Ovis aries: one gene and its partner. The protein of the gene in region 1 interacts with the protein of each later gene in a biochemical or structural test. Links are inferred from orthologs where the notes say so. Each region holds a gene or a part of one and is shown in the gene's direction. Other genes may lie near its edges.

Region 1 (8,057 bases):
GCATCTGTTAATAATATGTGAACTGTTGCTTATATTTTAGAGAATTTCTTAATCTTAGTTTGAGAGTTCATATGTTGACTCATAAAAATGACCATGATGTAATATTTACTCAGACCCTGACGCTATTTGTAAAATTTCAAGATCAGCTATATGAACAGAAACTAAGTCTACTGTGGGTTCTATAGAATATCTTTTAGCAGAGTCAAAGTGACTTTCTTTCCACCCTACATATAAAATGTCATCAGGCTCTAGAGACTAGGCACCAAGAGAGTGTGTGACTGGCTAGGAACATTTGCCTTTGGGGCTGCCTTTAATATCAAACCAATGAGGGAATTGTGAATTTATTAGGATAAAAAGAGTTGCTTCTCTACTTGAATTTTTTTGAAATTGCTCCTCCTGGTCTCAACTTAGCAATCAGAATGTAAAGAATCCCACACTTATATGGGGCTGATTTCCCTCTCATGCATGTATTCCTGAACGCCATGAGTCATCTAGGGGTGCTGCCTTTGTGATGCAACTATTATGACACCCCATGATATCCTGTGATGCACCATAATGCCAAAATGCTTAATCTTAATGTGAAGTGGGTACAAAGTTCATTGCTTGAAAGTATTGGAAGAGATTACTGATCACTTACTCTGTGAGTAGCTACATTTCTAAGGGTCACTTAGTTCTTCAGTGTAATTAATATAATGTAACTATCACAATGTTAAGGTTAATAATATTTAATAACAGTCAAGTTTATTAATTTATTGTGTACTCACTACAAGTAGGATCTGTGCTATTGTTTATGTATCTTACCTAATCTGCTTTACAGCACGTGGGTATCTTTATTCTTATTTTCAGATGAGGAATCCAGAGTCTTTCAGATATTAAGTAATTTTCTATATGGTGGAATTTGTATATGAAAACTCAATTGGTTTGAATCTCAAGTTCATACTAAGCACTCAGTCCCTATGATGCTATGTTATGTTCCACACCAATGTAAATTATCACCCTCTAAATTTCCAACTGGAGAAAAGACAAAACAACTTCCAATGTAAAGAGCCCACTTTCACTTAAATGTGAAACACTTTCAATGATAGGTGTGCACAACTTGCCTTCACCTCAATAAGAAGAAGGGCTTCCCTGGTGGCTCAGCTGGTAAAGAATCCGCCTGCAATGCAGGAGACCTGAGTTTGATCCCTGGGTTGGGAAGATCCCTGGGTTGGGAAGATCCCCTGGAGAAGGGAAAGGCTACCCACTCCAGCGTTCTGGCCTGGAGAATTCCATGGACTGTAGAGTCCATGGGGTCACAAAGAGTCAGACGTGACTGAGCTACTTCCACTTTCACTTTCAATAAGAAGAAAGAGGAAGAAGGAAAAGAAGGATGAGAACAGAATCAAAACCTATGACAGCAGAAAGATATACCAGCCTAGGCAACAATCTGCACACTAAACAAAATCTCCACCATCTTTTGAAATCTGCTGGTAAGAATGTGAGTCTGTCTGAATCACAGTCACCTCATCCACCAAAAGAGATGACCATGCAGGCCCCTGCTTCACCCTGGAATGGGCAGGGTCATCTTTCTCATCTGATTTTCCACTCTCGGTCACACCTTGTCTTCAGGTATTCTTTTCATTTACACTTGCTTCGGGGAAGACCATTGAGTGACCTCTCCATCTTTCCACAATGCTTTCCATGATACACAGAACAAAACTAAACTGCATCCTGGTTTTTCATGGCACTGAATCCTTCTTATCTGATATAACAGACCTACTTTACTCTGTATCTGACTTTCACCTCCTTGAGCTACTGGCAACTGGTCATCATTTAATTATCTCCCTGCATAAAATGGAAAACAGGTGAAATATACAAAATATTGTCTCAACAAACGTCCAATAGGAGCAAAGACATGAGTCATGACTGTTTATTTTATCCTACTAAATGTAAGGTACTATTTAGCCTCCATTATTATGACATGTCATTAAAAAACACGCAACTTTAAAAAAAGTTTCCCAGAATTAGGACACATGCCACTGTGACCCACATTCCTAAAAAGAACTGTTTTACTGGAACAGTCACGGAAGAGACAGATACCTTCAGGACAAAGAAATACTTAGAACAATGCTTTTTTCTCTTCTTCAAGTCATGAAAAATCAAGTTATGGAGTTGTCTCCACATCGAAGTTAGTCAAATTAATCAACTCTCTCCCTCTCTCTGCACTTTATCTACTTGTCATGATTAAAATGCTCTACTAGGTTCTAAATGGACTCTCAAAGCTGGCCCATTCTGTCTTGGGATTCCAGAAGCAAAATTTTGGTCACCACTCTTCATCCAATGCCAATATGCTATCAGCAGAGATTATTCCTTTAGGTTAAATATTATTTAACCTAGAAATTCTCTTTTCAAAGAGAAGTTTAGTCTAAATCCTTTTATCAGAGTGGGAAGAGAGTTTAAGAGTGAGATGAGGTTGAAGATGAATCTATCTGGCTCCTGCCATGACCAGCTGTGTGAAGTCCTCCCTGCCTTGTAAAGCTGACATTTGTCCCTCTTGTAAAACAGGGGAAATGATACTTAGACCTCCCTAGGTTTTGAGTGAGGTGGTATTGGTAATATTTTTAGTGTATTGTTCTGCCAAAAAAAAAAAAAAAATCAATAAATAACTTTGACAAGGACGGGTCCCTGGGCCACAAAAAGACATTGGACGGGAGGTGGTTGGAAATTCTGACCACTTCACCGTAGTGGGTGGGGAAGGGCCCCCGGGTGAGATAAGGTAAATAAAGCAGCTTCTCATTAGGAGGTGGGCTCTGTAGTCATATTATGACCGTTATTGTTAAAGACATCGGGCCATTGTTAAGTCACTCCTGATCTTAAGTTCCTTTAACATTTTAAAATGGATTTTTTTTCTAGTTAATTCCTGTCTGTGGTAACACTAAGATCAACCAAAGTATATTCCGAGGATTTTCAGATGGGTTGAAAGTTCGGGACTTTTGACTGTCAGCTCCTAGCTCCGAAACTCCACTCCCGGCCCTTGTATGGATCTGGTAATTTATTTTTGATTTTTCAGCTTGCAGCGAGAGGTTTAATTTTCACTTCCTTCCAGCGGCTCTCTGCGCTCCGGGGAGGTGGGGCGCCTGGCATCCGTGTGTGGTTTTCGGGTAGTAACTTCTTCCCGGGAGGCCGCCCGCCTCCACCCTCCGCGGCGGCGTGACGTCACGGGAGATGACCGGCATATAAAGCGGCAGGTGCGCGCAGCACCTCCGGAATGTTCGCACACCTGGCGCCCGAGCCTGAGCCCAGGGAACCTGAGCCCAGACATCCCGAGACGAGCTCCAGGAGCTGCCTCCAGCGCCCCAGGCTGGCCGGGCCTGCGAGCTCGGCCACGCGGCTCCCCGCGTCCCAGCTCTCGGCCACCACCGCCTCTTCCCGCCCGCAGCTCCCGGCCGAGTTGCCCCAGAGACCGCGACGCCGCCGCTCCGAGGGACCAATGAGAGCCCCGCTGCTGCCGCCGGCGCCCGTGGTGCTGTCGCTCCTCATCTTCGGCTCAGGTGAGGACATCCCGGCTCTGAGCTGCCCGCAGCTTCTCCCACCGAGGGCAAACAGGTCTCCTCTTGGATTTTGCTGCTGCTTCTCAAAAAAAAAAAAAAAAAAAAGAAAAAAAAAAAAAGAAAAGCCGCCTCTGGGTGTCCCCCGACTCTGTCCGGTGGAAAGTAATCGACATACCGGCCCCTCCTATGGAGGTAGAGAAAAGAGGCCGGGTGTCTGCCAGCAGGAGGGTGCCTGAGAATCTTTGTACTCTCACTTTAGTCCAGAGGGAAGGAGAGCTTAGAGATCCTGTGATCCAGACCCTTTCTTTTACAGATAAAGAAACAGAGGTCCAGAGCGGTAAAGTGATTTCCAGAGATCTTGGAGGAGAGTAGTTAAGTCCCAGACCAAGGAGTTCTACCTCCTACCTAGATTCTCCGTCTCCTCTGTCAAGTGATTTTGTTTTTACCATTCTAGAGGGCCTGGCATCGTCCCAGGGAGAAGTTCTACTTAAAAGCACCTCTCTAACACTGTTTTGAGACCTAAAAAAATCCGCCTGCCAAGCAGGAGACGCGGGTTCAAGCCCTAGGTTGGGAAGATCCCCTGGAGAAGGAAATGATAATTCACTCCAGGATTGTTGCCTGGAAAATTCCTTGAACAGAGGAGGCTGGCTTGCTACAGTCCATGGGGTCGCAAAATAGTCCTACACGATTTAGCCGCTAAGCAACAAACGATAAAGCAGGGGCTTGAAACTGGCCCCCAAGTCTTACTTAGTCCCTAGTTTCTTCTCTATGTGAGGGCAATAATAAGAGACAATGACAGTAAGAAAATTTATTACCAGCTACTATTCATATTACTTTTCACATTTGATATGCATACTCTTTTTAAAAAGGTAAGCATGTGTTAAAAAGATATTGGATTTATCTCTAGAATCTGTTTATTAAAATGGAACAGGTAACATTCTATTGTATATATGTATATGAAGTTATAGTCATATTGTTACCTCTCAAATAATTATATTACATTAATTTGCCTATTTGGCAGGTTTTTTATGTGGAAATTAATGTAGACTATCTGTGGAAAAGAAAACCTAAATGAAAGAAGCTCTGTAATTGGGACAGTTGAGTTTGCTTGTTGGCAGAGTATGAAGGAGCTTTCATAAGTGACTCAATCACAAACAATAACACATGTGCAGTCACTGCTTTGAAGATAAACATTCCTTCCGAACAGAATTGACTGGAGAGAAAAGGCACCCCGCTTTACTTTTTCTTTTCTCCTCTTATTCTCACTCTCATAGCCCATTATACTGCTGGATTAGATGTCAATGACACCTACTCTGGAAAAGGAGAACCATTTTCTGGGGACCACAGTGCTGACAGATTTGAGGTGACCTTAAGAAGTGAGATTTCCTCTGCAAGTGAAACGCCTCCTGGTGGCGAACTGTCCTCGGCGTTCGACTATGACTATGCAGAAGAGTATGATAATGAACCACAGATATCTGGCTATATTGTAGATGATTCAGTCAGAGGTGAGTAGAGGAGAAGGTGACAGTATAGCCTATAAGATATGTGGTTTGTATGAGCAAAGCTGCTTCAAAAGAAAAGCCTCTCCAAGATCTTCCAGTGGCTTTCTTGTGTGTGACTGTTGTGCATCCCACTAGTTAAGCTGGAAACTGAGATAGAAAGAGCTTTTAGTGGGCACAACCTTTGTGTATGGAGCTCTAACAAGCGTTTCATATCTGGGAAGTCTAATCTTCACAACTTTATGAGGTAGGAATTGTTACATTTTACAGCTGTGATAACTGAAGCTTAAGAAGGTTAAGCATTTTGCCCAAAGTTCCACAGCCAGAATGAGAAACTCCAATCTGTTGGATTTCAGATACTCTGCCAGATGACCACTCCCCCATGTGAGAAATCAATATAGACATCAACCAATCCCATATACTTTATATCTCAGCTTTTATAGCCACTCCCCACCACCATTTTTCTCTAAATTACTGCAGTTGAACACAAATAGGGCTTCCCTCATAGCTCAGTTGGTAAAGAATTTGCCTGCAGTGCTGGAGACTCAGGTAAGGGAACAGAAAGATGTAATGGGAAAAGAATGATTGGATCTTAGCCACTGTGTATTGTGCTGCGACACTGGTAATAATAATAGTAATGTCACTTTCTGGAAATATTAAAGAACAAATATGCATGGATTTTATGTCACTAAAATCTCTGTTTAACCCCAAATCTCATTTGTCAGTTAAATAATAGTGACCTATAATTTCTTCTCTTCTGCTGTTAACTGATTTTTCAAAAAGAGCATTTACTTAAAATGAGGGTACCAGAGAAAGAGGTCACTGTTGTTCATTACTCTCATATTACTTTGGAGTTTGAGGGCAGACGAGATCATCAGTAAATCAGATCTAAATATCCTAGGAGCATCCATTATGAAGGCAAGGTTTAAAGCGTCTTCTTTCCTGATCTTAGTTTCCCTGACTCCTCCTCTCTGTCTAGCTCCCAGAACTGGTGAAGGAATAGCAAGTGATAACATGAAGACAATGACAGGTGGGAAGAGTTTTATCAAACACTCCATTTTCCTCCCTTGCTCCACACCTCCTTTATGTGCTTTTACATAAGGTGGGAAAGGGGTCCATCTATAATTCTTATTTTGGGAGGGGAATGAGATGAGACCATTTAGAAATTTTGCTCTTAAAGATGTTTCAAGTTAGCATTTCATAAGGCCAAATGAATTGATGATGATGAATGAAAATGGTTAGGGGCCAAAATTACAATGCACTGTAAAATACAGTGAAAATTGATCCATGAAGATAATGTCTATTGGAATACTTCAGCATAGTGACTATCTCTGTTTAAAATTTGTAATGTATCTGTAAAGTGCTGTAATATCGATTTAAAATGTTTCTGTTAGAGGAACTGTTCTAATTTGGGGTACTTTTCTTATCATCAGAGGGAAGTTTCAACACAAAAATTGCATAGCCACCTATTAAACATTGCTCCTAATTTGACTATTGTTAATGTTGATATAATGACTGCTAAAACACTCAAAGTACTTTATTGTTTATTACCTTAACCACAGGGCTCCAGCTTTGCTACCCTTCCTTATGTTTCTAGAGTTCTCTATTTACCGGGCACTGCAGAACCATTATGACTAACTTTATTATGACTTTATGACTCTTTTCTCTGGGCTCACTAAATACTTGCTCAGATAAACTTTTGCAGAGATTAGTAAAACAAAATGCACAGCTCTAACATAGAAACTCCTCCTTCCTATATTTAATGTGTGGGTAAATTATACCCTGCATAGCTATAACACTGAACAAAGGTTTCTGTGAATCTGAAGAGTTAGGATGAACCCATGAAGCGTCAAGTACAAATATTTATGGACTTCTGTTTTTCAAATAGATTGGTCACAGAAATTAGCCCCCAGAAAGTATCAGTTAATTATAATCTGTTGTAATCTGGGAGTTGAAGAAAGTTAACTCTAATGTATAATTCTGTTTTCTCCACCTCAGGTAATACACACCAATTCCCAACTATGATAGCACAAGACTGATATGAGTAAAGAAAATCACCAAATGTACTCAAACCCCACTTTAACTAATGGAACTGAGCTTTTCCCAGAGAAAACATAATAAAATTGGGTATTAATAGGTTTTAACATCCCAGCACTGCCATTTTCTAGCTACTGTCTTAGTGCAATTTACTTGTCTTTACTCGACTCTACTTTTTCTCATCTGTATCATGTAGATAGTAATAATACATTCAAGTGTGATTTGGGTTTAATTAAATTAATGCTTGTTACCAAGAGCCTGGTATGTATTAAAGTAAAAACAAATGTTTAAAATATTTCATGGATTTTCTTAGACAAGTAACTCCTATTATTCCTGTTATCAGTAATAATAATGCTGATACAAATAAATCAAAATATGTTTTTAAGCTAATAAAATAACAAATGTGTTCAAATTCTAAGTGCCACATAGTACAGATATTGTCTTTGTTCAATTAGGTATATGAGTTGTGTTAAAAAATGTGACTGATAAGGCTGTTACCCTGTGAACTTTCACTGCTAGGACATTTTTCTCTCATGTCTTCAAAATGGTGTTCCACATAAAGAGAGAAATAAAGATTTATTTGTCAATAAATCTTTTCTTTTCTGTTTTATTTTTTTAGTTGAACAGGTAGTTAAGCCTAAGAAAAACAAAACGGAAAGTGAAAAGACTTCAGATAAACCCAAAAGAAAGAAAAAGGGAGGCAAAAATGGAAAAAATAGAAGAAACAGAAAGAGGAAAAATCTGTGTGATACAGAATTTCAAAATTTCTGCATTCATGGAAAATGCACATTTTTAGAGCAACTGGAAACAGTATCATGCCAGTAAGTTGCCTTAAATCATATGGAATTCTATATTTCTAACACTGTGTATGAAACCCTTAGTTGCAAAAAACCATTTTTTTTTCAATATATAAACCAATAGTTGGCAAACTTCCTTAAAGAAGCAGATATGAAATATTTTGGGTGTTGTGGGTCAAGATTATGTACGGTTA
Region 2 (7,861 bases), on another chromosome or scaffold:
GCTCAGGGGGCTGTGTCTCAGAGGGTGGTGCAGAGCTGGACCGAGCCACTGTTGGGTGTCAGATGATAAAAGATGGAGACAATAGTGGGGGCTTCCCTGGTGGCTCAGATGGTAAAGAACCCCTGCAAGGCAGGAGACCCAGGGTTTGATCCCTGGATCGGGAAGATCCTCTGGAGAAGGAAGTGGCAAACTACTCCAGTATTCTTGCCTGGAGAATCCCATGGACAGAGGAGCCTGACTGGCCACAGTTCATGGGGCCACTGAAGAGTCCAACGTGACTTAGCAACTAAACTACCACCACTGTGAGGGAGTGAGGTGACGAGTGGGCCATGCTCCCTGAGGGGTTTGCAGTGATGTCGGGCAATTAAGGCCTCTGTCCAGAAATGGAACAAGCGGTGGTGGTGGGAGAGGGTGGGGGCGGTTGGAAAATAAATGAGGAGCTGGTGTAGTCAAGGAGGGCTGCTCAGAGGAGGGGGAGCTTGTGGGGTCGGAAGCGTGTAGGGGGTTAATCATGTCTGGGCTCAGTCCTTGGGACACTTGAAGTGCAGCGGTGAGAAGAGGGGCTGACTCGGCTTCTGCCATGAGTCCCACCTTTGTTCCATGACAGTCAATATGGCCAGTCTTCTGGAGCAGGCGTTGGCTACTCTCGTGAAAACCTTTCAGGAATATTCACAGTTCTCTGGAAACTCGCTCTGCCAGGCGAAGTTCAAGGAACTCCTGGAGAAGGAGCTGCCTACCTGGGCCCCGGTGAGCACCTGGGCCGAGCCCCCAGGAAGCACTGCTTGAATTCTGGGAAAAGACCCTGCTCCGAGTCTGGGGCACAAGGGGGTGGAAGTTAGACTGTGGGGAGGGGTGCTGGGAGGGAAATGGGCACAACCGGAGTCTCAGTTTCTTCATCTGTAAAGTGGAGGAAAATCGCCTCCCAGACTGTGGAAGGGCGGTTGGGAGGACTGAGGGAGAGCTCTGTGAAGAATGCCTGACTCGCAGCTGGCGGTCTGTAAATGAGCTGAGAAAGAGGATTTGGGAGGGGAACTGACACGGTGAATCCTCAGAACAGGGAGGCTAAGGCTGAGGCTGAGGGCGTGGGTTGCTGATGGCGGGGAGGAGGCGTGGAGGGGAGGGAAGCTGGATGTGAGCACCAGACTGCTCTGCCCTCCTCAGCCTGCCTCCTCATCCCTCCCCGCCCCACCCCGCACAGACGACGCTCCGGGAGTGTGACTACAAGCAGTTCATCAGTGCCCTGGACACCAACAAGGATGGCCAGGTGGATTTTGTGGAGTACATGCGCTTGCTCGCCTGCCTCTGCATCTGCTGCCATGAGTACTTGAAGGACAGCCCCCTGAAGCCCTCCTGCTCCCAGTAACGGGCAGGGCTGCTGTCAGAGGGCAGAGGTTGGGGTCCTCTCGACCGCTCTGACTCTGCCCCAAGGTCATCCTGGGCACGTCAGCTCTCCCCTTCCCAGCCCCCCAGGCTCCTGCTTCTAGAATCTCCCAGGTTTGCCCCTGGTGTGTCAACCCATGGGTCCAGGAGACACGAGGGGACCATCCCCAGAATCACAGCTAGTGATTTGAAGAGCAGCCAGCCGCTGCCTCCGCCCACCAGCCACAGCGGTGGTGGCTGTCAAGGCCCAGAAGAGCATGTCTGGGAGAGAGATTGTGGCGGCAAAGGCCCCTTTTGTTCCTAATAAAGAACTGGCATCACTTGGCTCTGTTTGGTTCTTCTGAGAGGACGGCCTGGGGACAGAGTCCCACTGGGGCGTCACCCCTCCCTGGACTTTTCCACGGGAGGACAGGAGGTTGAGGGCAGTTTCAGACCCTGCGGAAATGAAATGGTCCTAATGTCCAGCAGGAAGGCATGGGGGCAACTCGGGGACGATGCCCATGGGAGGATGGTTTGCGGGGGGGGCTCTCTGTCTGTCTGTCTGTCTGTATCGGGCAGGTCTCTGAAGAAGAAGCTCCCTTGGGCTGTGAAGGAGGTGAGAGGAGGGTCAAACTCAGTCCCCCAGACCAGATGTTCTGGGAGGAGGGTGGGGCCGTAGGGGAGAGGGCGGGTCTGTCCCCGGCCCCTGGGCTATGAGAGCCCAGAGTGCAGCACTAATCTGATCAGGGGTTGGACTAGGGTGTTGCTCCCTGATCATTTGGGGAGGGGTGCTCTGCTGCTGAAGGGGGAAGGAGAGAGACCTTCAGGCAGACCCCTCTCCTTGAAGCCACAGCCACCTGAGGGGTTAACCCCCGACTCCTGACCCTCCCTCAACCCCTGAGCTCATACCTTACCCTGGGAGGTTCCCTTGATCCTTGCCTCCCCTCATTTTGTGCTGCATCACCTCTAACTTTCCTCCGCTCCCTGCCCTCTTCATCCCTGACACCCAGCCCAAATCTAAGCCCCCTCCCAAAGCCCTCTGCCAAATCTAAGCCCCCTCCCAACGCCCTCTGCCACCCCACTGCTCTCGGTCCCTTCAGTCCATCCCTGAGCCCCAAGGCATGCCTCTCCTTCCCCATTCCATCACTCTGGCATCCAGCGCCTTTCTGCAAGGATGTGCCTGCGGGGGGTCCCCAAGCCTCCTTTGGGTGTTAGCCAGTTCCTCCTCCCAGACCCCCAGCTCCCACTGTCCCGGGGCTCACTCCACAAGGTAGGAAGCTCTTTGGGGAGGGGTGCAGGGCAGCGTGAGCCGTCCCCAGCACCGAAACTGAGGGGCCCTCCCTGTCTTCTCAGGCTGCCGCATCCCAGGGCAGTTTCCCACCTGCCACCTTCCACCCCTCTATGCTGGCTGCCTGGTGGGACCACGTCCTCCTTGTCCCTCATGCCCCAGGCACAACCTGTCCCTCCCCCCAGCTCCCTAAAACTCGAGCTGAGCTGTGCACACCCACCCTCCAGGCCCCTGCCTGTGCCCCTGGGGCTCTCCCATGTCCGTCTGTGCCTGCTGGGGCAGGAAGCTAGCTTTCCAGGCTGGGCGGGTGGAGGGGGGTGGAGGGGGGCCGTGGCGTTCACCACATCAGCCCACGATAGGAGGGCTGGGTCCTGTTCTCCCGCATCCCCTGCCATGGGCAGGGCCTGGCCCGGGTATAAATAGGTCAGACTGCTGGGTTCTCCCCATTCTTCCTCTCTCCCCATCATCTCTCCCCAGCACTTCCTCTCTCTTGGTGAGTTGTGGTCGCCTGACTGGCATGCAAGAGGTGTCAGGCCGAGGCTGGGTGCAGGAGAAAGGGAGGTGGATGGGGGCCAGAGGCACTAAACGGGTCCAGATGTGAGATTCCGATGTGGAGGCTCTGGGGTGGGTGGTGTGCGTGTGCACAAGTGCGTGTGCACTCAGGAAAGAACAACAAGTGTGAGGTGGCTGGTGGGAACTGTCTGAGGGGTTCTGTGATGCCGGGGCTTGCGTGCGTTGTTGCTGCTGTACACACTGGTGGGTGTGTGGGCTGGTGTCTGCTGGGTGGCACACTTGGATGTGGAAAGCACAGTGAAGGCAGAAGGCGCCTGTGGGCTCTGGCTGGTTATGTCCTAGGAGCCTCGGTCCTGCACCAGCAGCCCAGCCCAAGGGAGGGTGGCCTCCCCGTCCCTGCCCTGCATCCGTGCCTCTGCCACCTCACCCTGCCCCTCCCTATGCACTGGTTTTTTCCGCTAGGCCCCTGGGCAAGCCTCCAGCAGCCTCACCCAGCCCAGTGTTGGGAGGGGGAAAGAATGGGCTGGGGTGGGGCTGCTGTGGGCTGAGCGTACCAGTGAGTGAATGGACCAAGTGAGGGTGGAGAAAGTGCTCCTGGGGAGCTGGCTGCCTGGAACCCGGAGCCTGAGCACCAGGCCCTGCAGGGGTTCACTGCCCCAAGCATACATTTCCCTCTCCCGCTAGGAGCTGAACCCCTTTCTGGATGGGAGCAGTGTCACCAATGTGCTCCCTGAGGGATGGGAGTGGGGGGCATTTACAAATACATAGCTGGGGGTGGGGTGGGGAAAATAAGGTTGTCTCTGTGACCCTGCCCCCAGCTCCTGATTGCTGCCATGGCGTACCCCCTGGAGAAGGCCCTCGATGTGATGGTGTCCACCTTCCACAAGTACTCGGGCAAGGAGGGTGACAAGTTCAAGCTCAACAAGTCTGAGCTAAAGGAGCTGCTGACCCGGGAGCTGCCCAGCTTTTTAGGGGTGAGTGATACTGCCTGGGAGGCACCCGTCCTCTGTGAAGCATTACCTACAGCTGGCATCTGCTGCTGACACGGGCAATTTCCAGGCAGAGAGCTTACCCTGGCTGCCTGGGGCCAAAGCACGGTGAGCACCCACAGCTCACTTCCTAGCACCCTCAGAAAGAGGGCAGAGTGAGCAGATAGGGTATGGTGCTCTGTACAACTTCCCTGGAGGGAAACTGATGCTCAGAGAGGCTAAGTAACTTCCCAAGGAAGTCCGTGTTTAAAGCTGAGATCATGAACTGCGATGGTCAAACTCTTGCCATCACTCCAGCAATGAAACTTGTTGTTGTTTTTTTTTAAGATTCTGTGAAAGTTATATGCCTTTTTTTTTTAAGTTGAAATATCGTTGATTTACACTGTGTTTATTTCAGGTGTACAGCAAAGTGATTTAGCTATATATACACATATCTATTTTTTCAGATTTTTTTCCATTATAAGGTATTACACAATATTGAATACAGTTACCTGTGTGATACAGTAAATCCTTGTTGCTTATCTCTTTTATATACAGTAGTGTATATCTGTTAACCTCATATTTCTATTTTATCACCATCCCCCCGCCCCATAAACCATTTTTGAGTTTCTGTTTGGCTTGTGGACGTGAAGATACAGTTCTCTGGAGACACTCACACACTTACAGAATTCTCTTGAGCAATCCCAGATGCCGTCTGTATCAACCTTTACGCTGTTTATCTATTGCTTTCATGACCACTGTATGATTGGACTCTTAAAATGACCTTGGCAGAAGAGGCTGTGGTCTCCTTTACGCAGTTGTACCCAGGTCCTCAGACTTCATCTGAGGGGTAGCTTAGCCCCTAGGGCTGGAGGTCCAGAGCCAGGCCCCGCAGGGGTGCCTGTGTCCTCCTGAGCTCCCGTCTGGAGCTCAGACCTCACCCGGTGCTAGCTCTGCTCCACTTCCCGACCCCGACCTCGCTTCCGGTTTCCACCTGTAGCCTCTTCCTCCTGCAGAAAAGGACGGATGAAGCTGCGTTCCAGAAACTGATGAGCAACCTGGACTGCAACAAGGACAACGAGGTGGACTTCCAGGAGTACTGCGTCTTCCTGTCCTGCATCGCCATGATGTGCAATGAGTTCTTCGAAGGGTTCCCTGATAAGCAGCCCCGGAAAAAATGAAGGCTCCTCAGGTGTGGGGCAGGGGTGGGCTGCCAGCTGGGGTCTTCCCTGTTGGCGGTGGGCGCATCACCTCACCCTGGCTCCTCCAGATGTGAGCACAATACTGAACAAGTTCAATAAAGATTCTTGAAAGCTATGAGGCTGATGGTCTGAGAAACTCCGGGGGCGTGGGGTGGGGCCTGAGGGATGCCTGGTGGGGCCAGTGGGGAGGGGGTAATGGAGGATGCTGGGAGTTGAGCTGTAGTCTTCTGGAGAGTGGAGAGCAGATTAGTGAAAGTGGAGAGGGATGTGGGGGACTGTGCATGTGTGTGAAGGACAGAGTCGACTCTGGATGGGGTCAAAGGCAGGGAAAGGGACCCCAGAGGCTTGGAACATCCTGGCTGTAGGATCTTAGCCAGTGTTCTCACCCATCCCACCTCCCCAGCCTTGCCTCTGGCAGGATCTCTGACTGAGGCTGGGATGGATTCGGAGGTCACATCTGCTCCTGGTTGGGGTCTGGAATGGAGTGTGGGTGCCCTGGGGTGGTGGGGAAAGGGCTGAGTCATGGGGAGGAAGTAGTGAGGCCAGAGTGGGATGGGGAGGAAGGCTCAGTCCTGACACTTACAGCTCGGGCCCTGCCTGCCACCTGTTCCAGTGGCCTGGCTTCAGACCCCAGGGAAGATGAATCCTTCCTGTCCAGGGTCAGATCAGGAAGGGGACATGGAGGAAGGGCAGCTTGATGGCCACAGCGTGAGCATATCATCCTTCTCTAAGCCTATCTCTCCTGGAGGCCCTGGGATGAGATTCGTTACCAGTTAACAGTCATGCTCCATCAGAGGAGGACAGAGGACCTTGGAACTGATGAGTGTAGGACAGTAACTGGATTGGGAGGGAGGGAGATAGAGGGAGGCGACCAGAGTTTTGGAGACAAAATTCTAGGCATGAGATCTGGTAAGTGAATTGAGACTCCCCTCCCCTCCTCCCTACCCCTCCTGAAAATATCAGGCACGATAGTGCTTCTCTTTAGGTTAAAGACCAGCAGCTCCAACCTGCAACGGGTGGGGGTTAGATTTCCAGGCCCTGCTTGGGTGGTACAGGGACCTTCAATGAAGAGGTGAGTAGAAGGCAGGTCCAGAGGCAGAGAAGGTCTGGTTCCCGTGACCTTTCAAGCTTTCCCCTTTTCTTCCATCACGTTGTGTTTTTCTCTCAAGTTGCAGAGGAGTGGGGTAGGTGACTCAGATGTTCCTTCAGAGTGTGACTACAGAGACTCGGATAGAATTTTGATCCAGGAAAAAGTTTGCCACTTCTTCCTTCTCCCCCTCATCCCTCGCCCCGGTCTGCCCATCTTCCATCGGAGTGCCCTCCCCTGAGTCTCCCTTCTGCATCACTCTCTACTTTGGAAACTCCTGTTGCTTAGCGACCAGTCCCTGCTGCCTCTTTACCTTTGGCAGCTGGGGGTGGGAGTGGAATTGGGGGCAGCCGGGAGCATCTAGGCAGGCTAGGGTTTGGCGGCATCAGCCACAGGTGCTAAGCCCCTAACTCTGTTCTCTTCTCATTCTTGAACTGGTTGGTGGTAGAACAATGTCTGGGCTTCCCTGGTAGCTCAGCTGATTAAAAATCTGCCTGCAATGCAGGAGACCCCAACAGGGTTCCTGGGTCGGGAAGATCCCCTGGAGAAGGGATAGCCTATCCACTCCAGTATTCTTGGGCTTCCCTGGTGGCTCAGATGGTAAAGATTCCATGTGCAACGTGGGAGACCTGGTTTCAATCCCTGGTTTGGGAAGATCCCTGGAGGAGGGCATGGCAACCCACTCCAGTATTCTTGCCTGGAGAATCTAATGGACAGAGGAGCCTGGCGGGCTACAGTCCATGGGGCTGCAAAGAGTCAGACACGCCTGAGCAACTAATCACAGAACAATGTCTGAGTCTCCCCTAGGATATAGGCAAATCTCCTTGACTCACACCCTGGTCATTACTGCACCTTGAACCTGCTCCCCAGAGTCTGCAGCCTCTACCCCATCATCCAGCCCTACCCGTCCCCGATTTCTGCCTTGGTCTCCCTGATTCCCAGTTCCCCAGGAGTCTCTGACAATTCTTTCCCATGGTGACCAGTGAGGTGTCGAAGAATCCTTTAAAAATCTTAGCCTACATACTCGCTAATGGTCTTGACCATGCCCTTGGCAGGAAACATCTTTCCCCGCTGATTCCCATCTTGAGCTGCATCTGTTCTGCTCTTGGGGTGGGTAGGAGGGCTCCAATACAAAGAGCAGCCTAAGGTATAGGTGGATACCCTGCACACCTCCTGATTCTTCTTTCCAGGGAGCCTGGCTGTCTTCCCATCAGATTGTGAGTTCTGGGTTTTGGTTGGAAAGACAAAGCTTCTGGGATTGAAAATGTATGTACCATGGTAAACTCAGTATGCTCCCATCCCCTCTGTTTAGAAACAAGTGAGGTGAGATTCGCAAAAGGGGGTTTCTTTGCAGCCATGTCCCAGGAGGCTCTGACCTAAGCTTCTTTGGTCCCTGGCCCCTTCTTATTGGCCCTTCTTTCCCCTGGTTTCCTGGGGATTGGAA

What was found.
Region 2: the proteins of AREG (region 1) and S100A4 form a complex in vitro, tested with the Homo sapiens proteins (2 studies listed by IntAct, with this or other methods). The link is inferred for Ovis aries from reciprocal best matches to the Homo sapiens genes AREG and S100A4.

The regions. Positions count from the first base shown.
Region 1 is NC_056059.1:90,126,882-90,134,938, forward strand, and holds the start of AREG (amphiregulin), read left to right. Parts: upstream 1-3,244; 5' UTR 3,245-3,247; coding exon 3,248-3,530; intron 3,531-4,804; coding exon 4,805-5,035; intron 5,036-6,008; coding exon 6,009-6,059; intron 6,060-7,685; coding exon 7,686-7,887; intron 7,888-8,057.
Region 2 is NC_056054.1:103,999,842-104,007,702, reverse strand, and holds S100A4 (protein S100-A4), read left to right. Parts: upstream 1-2,982; 5' UTR 2,983-3,140; intron 3,141-3,978; 5' UTR 3,979-3,993; coding exon 3,994-4,134; intron 4,135-5,144; coding exon 5,145-5,309; 3' UTR 5,310-5,445; downstream 5,446-7,861. Other genes in the region: S100A3 (protein S100-A3), read left to right, coding at 613-747, 1,199-1,363. UniProt on the Homo sapiens protein: Calcium-binding protein that plays a role in various cellular processes including motility, angiogenesis, cell differentiation, apoptosis, and autophagy.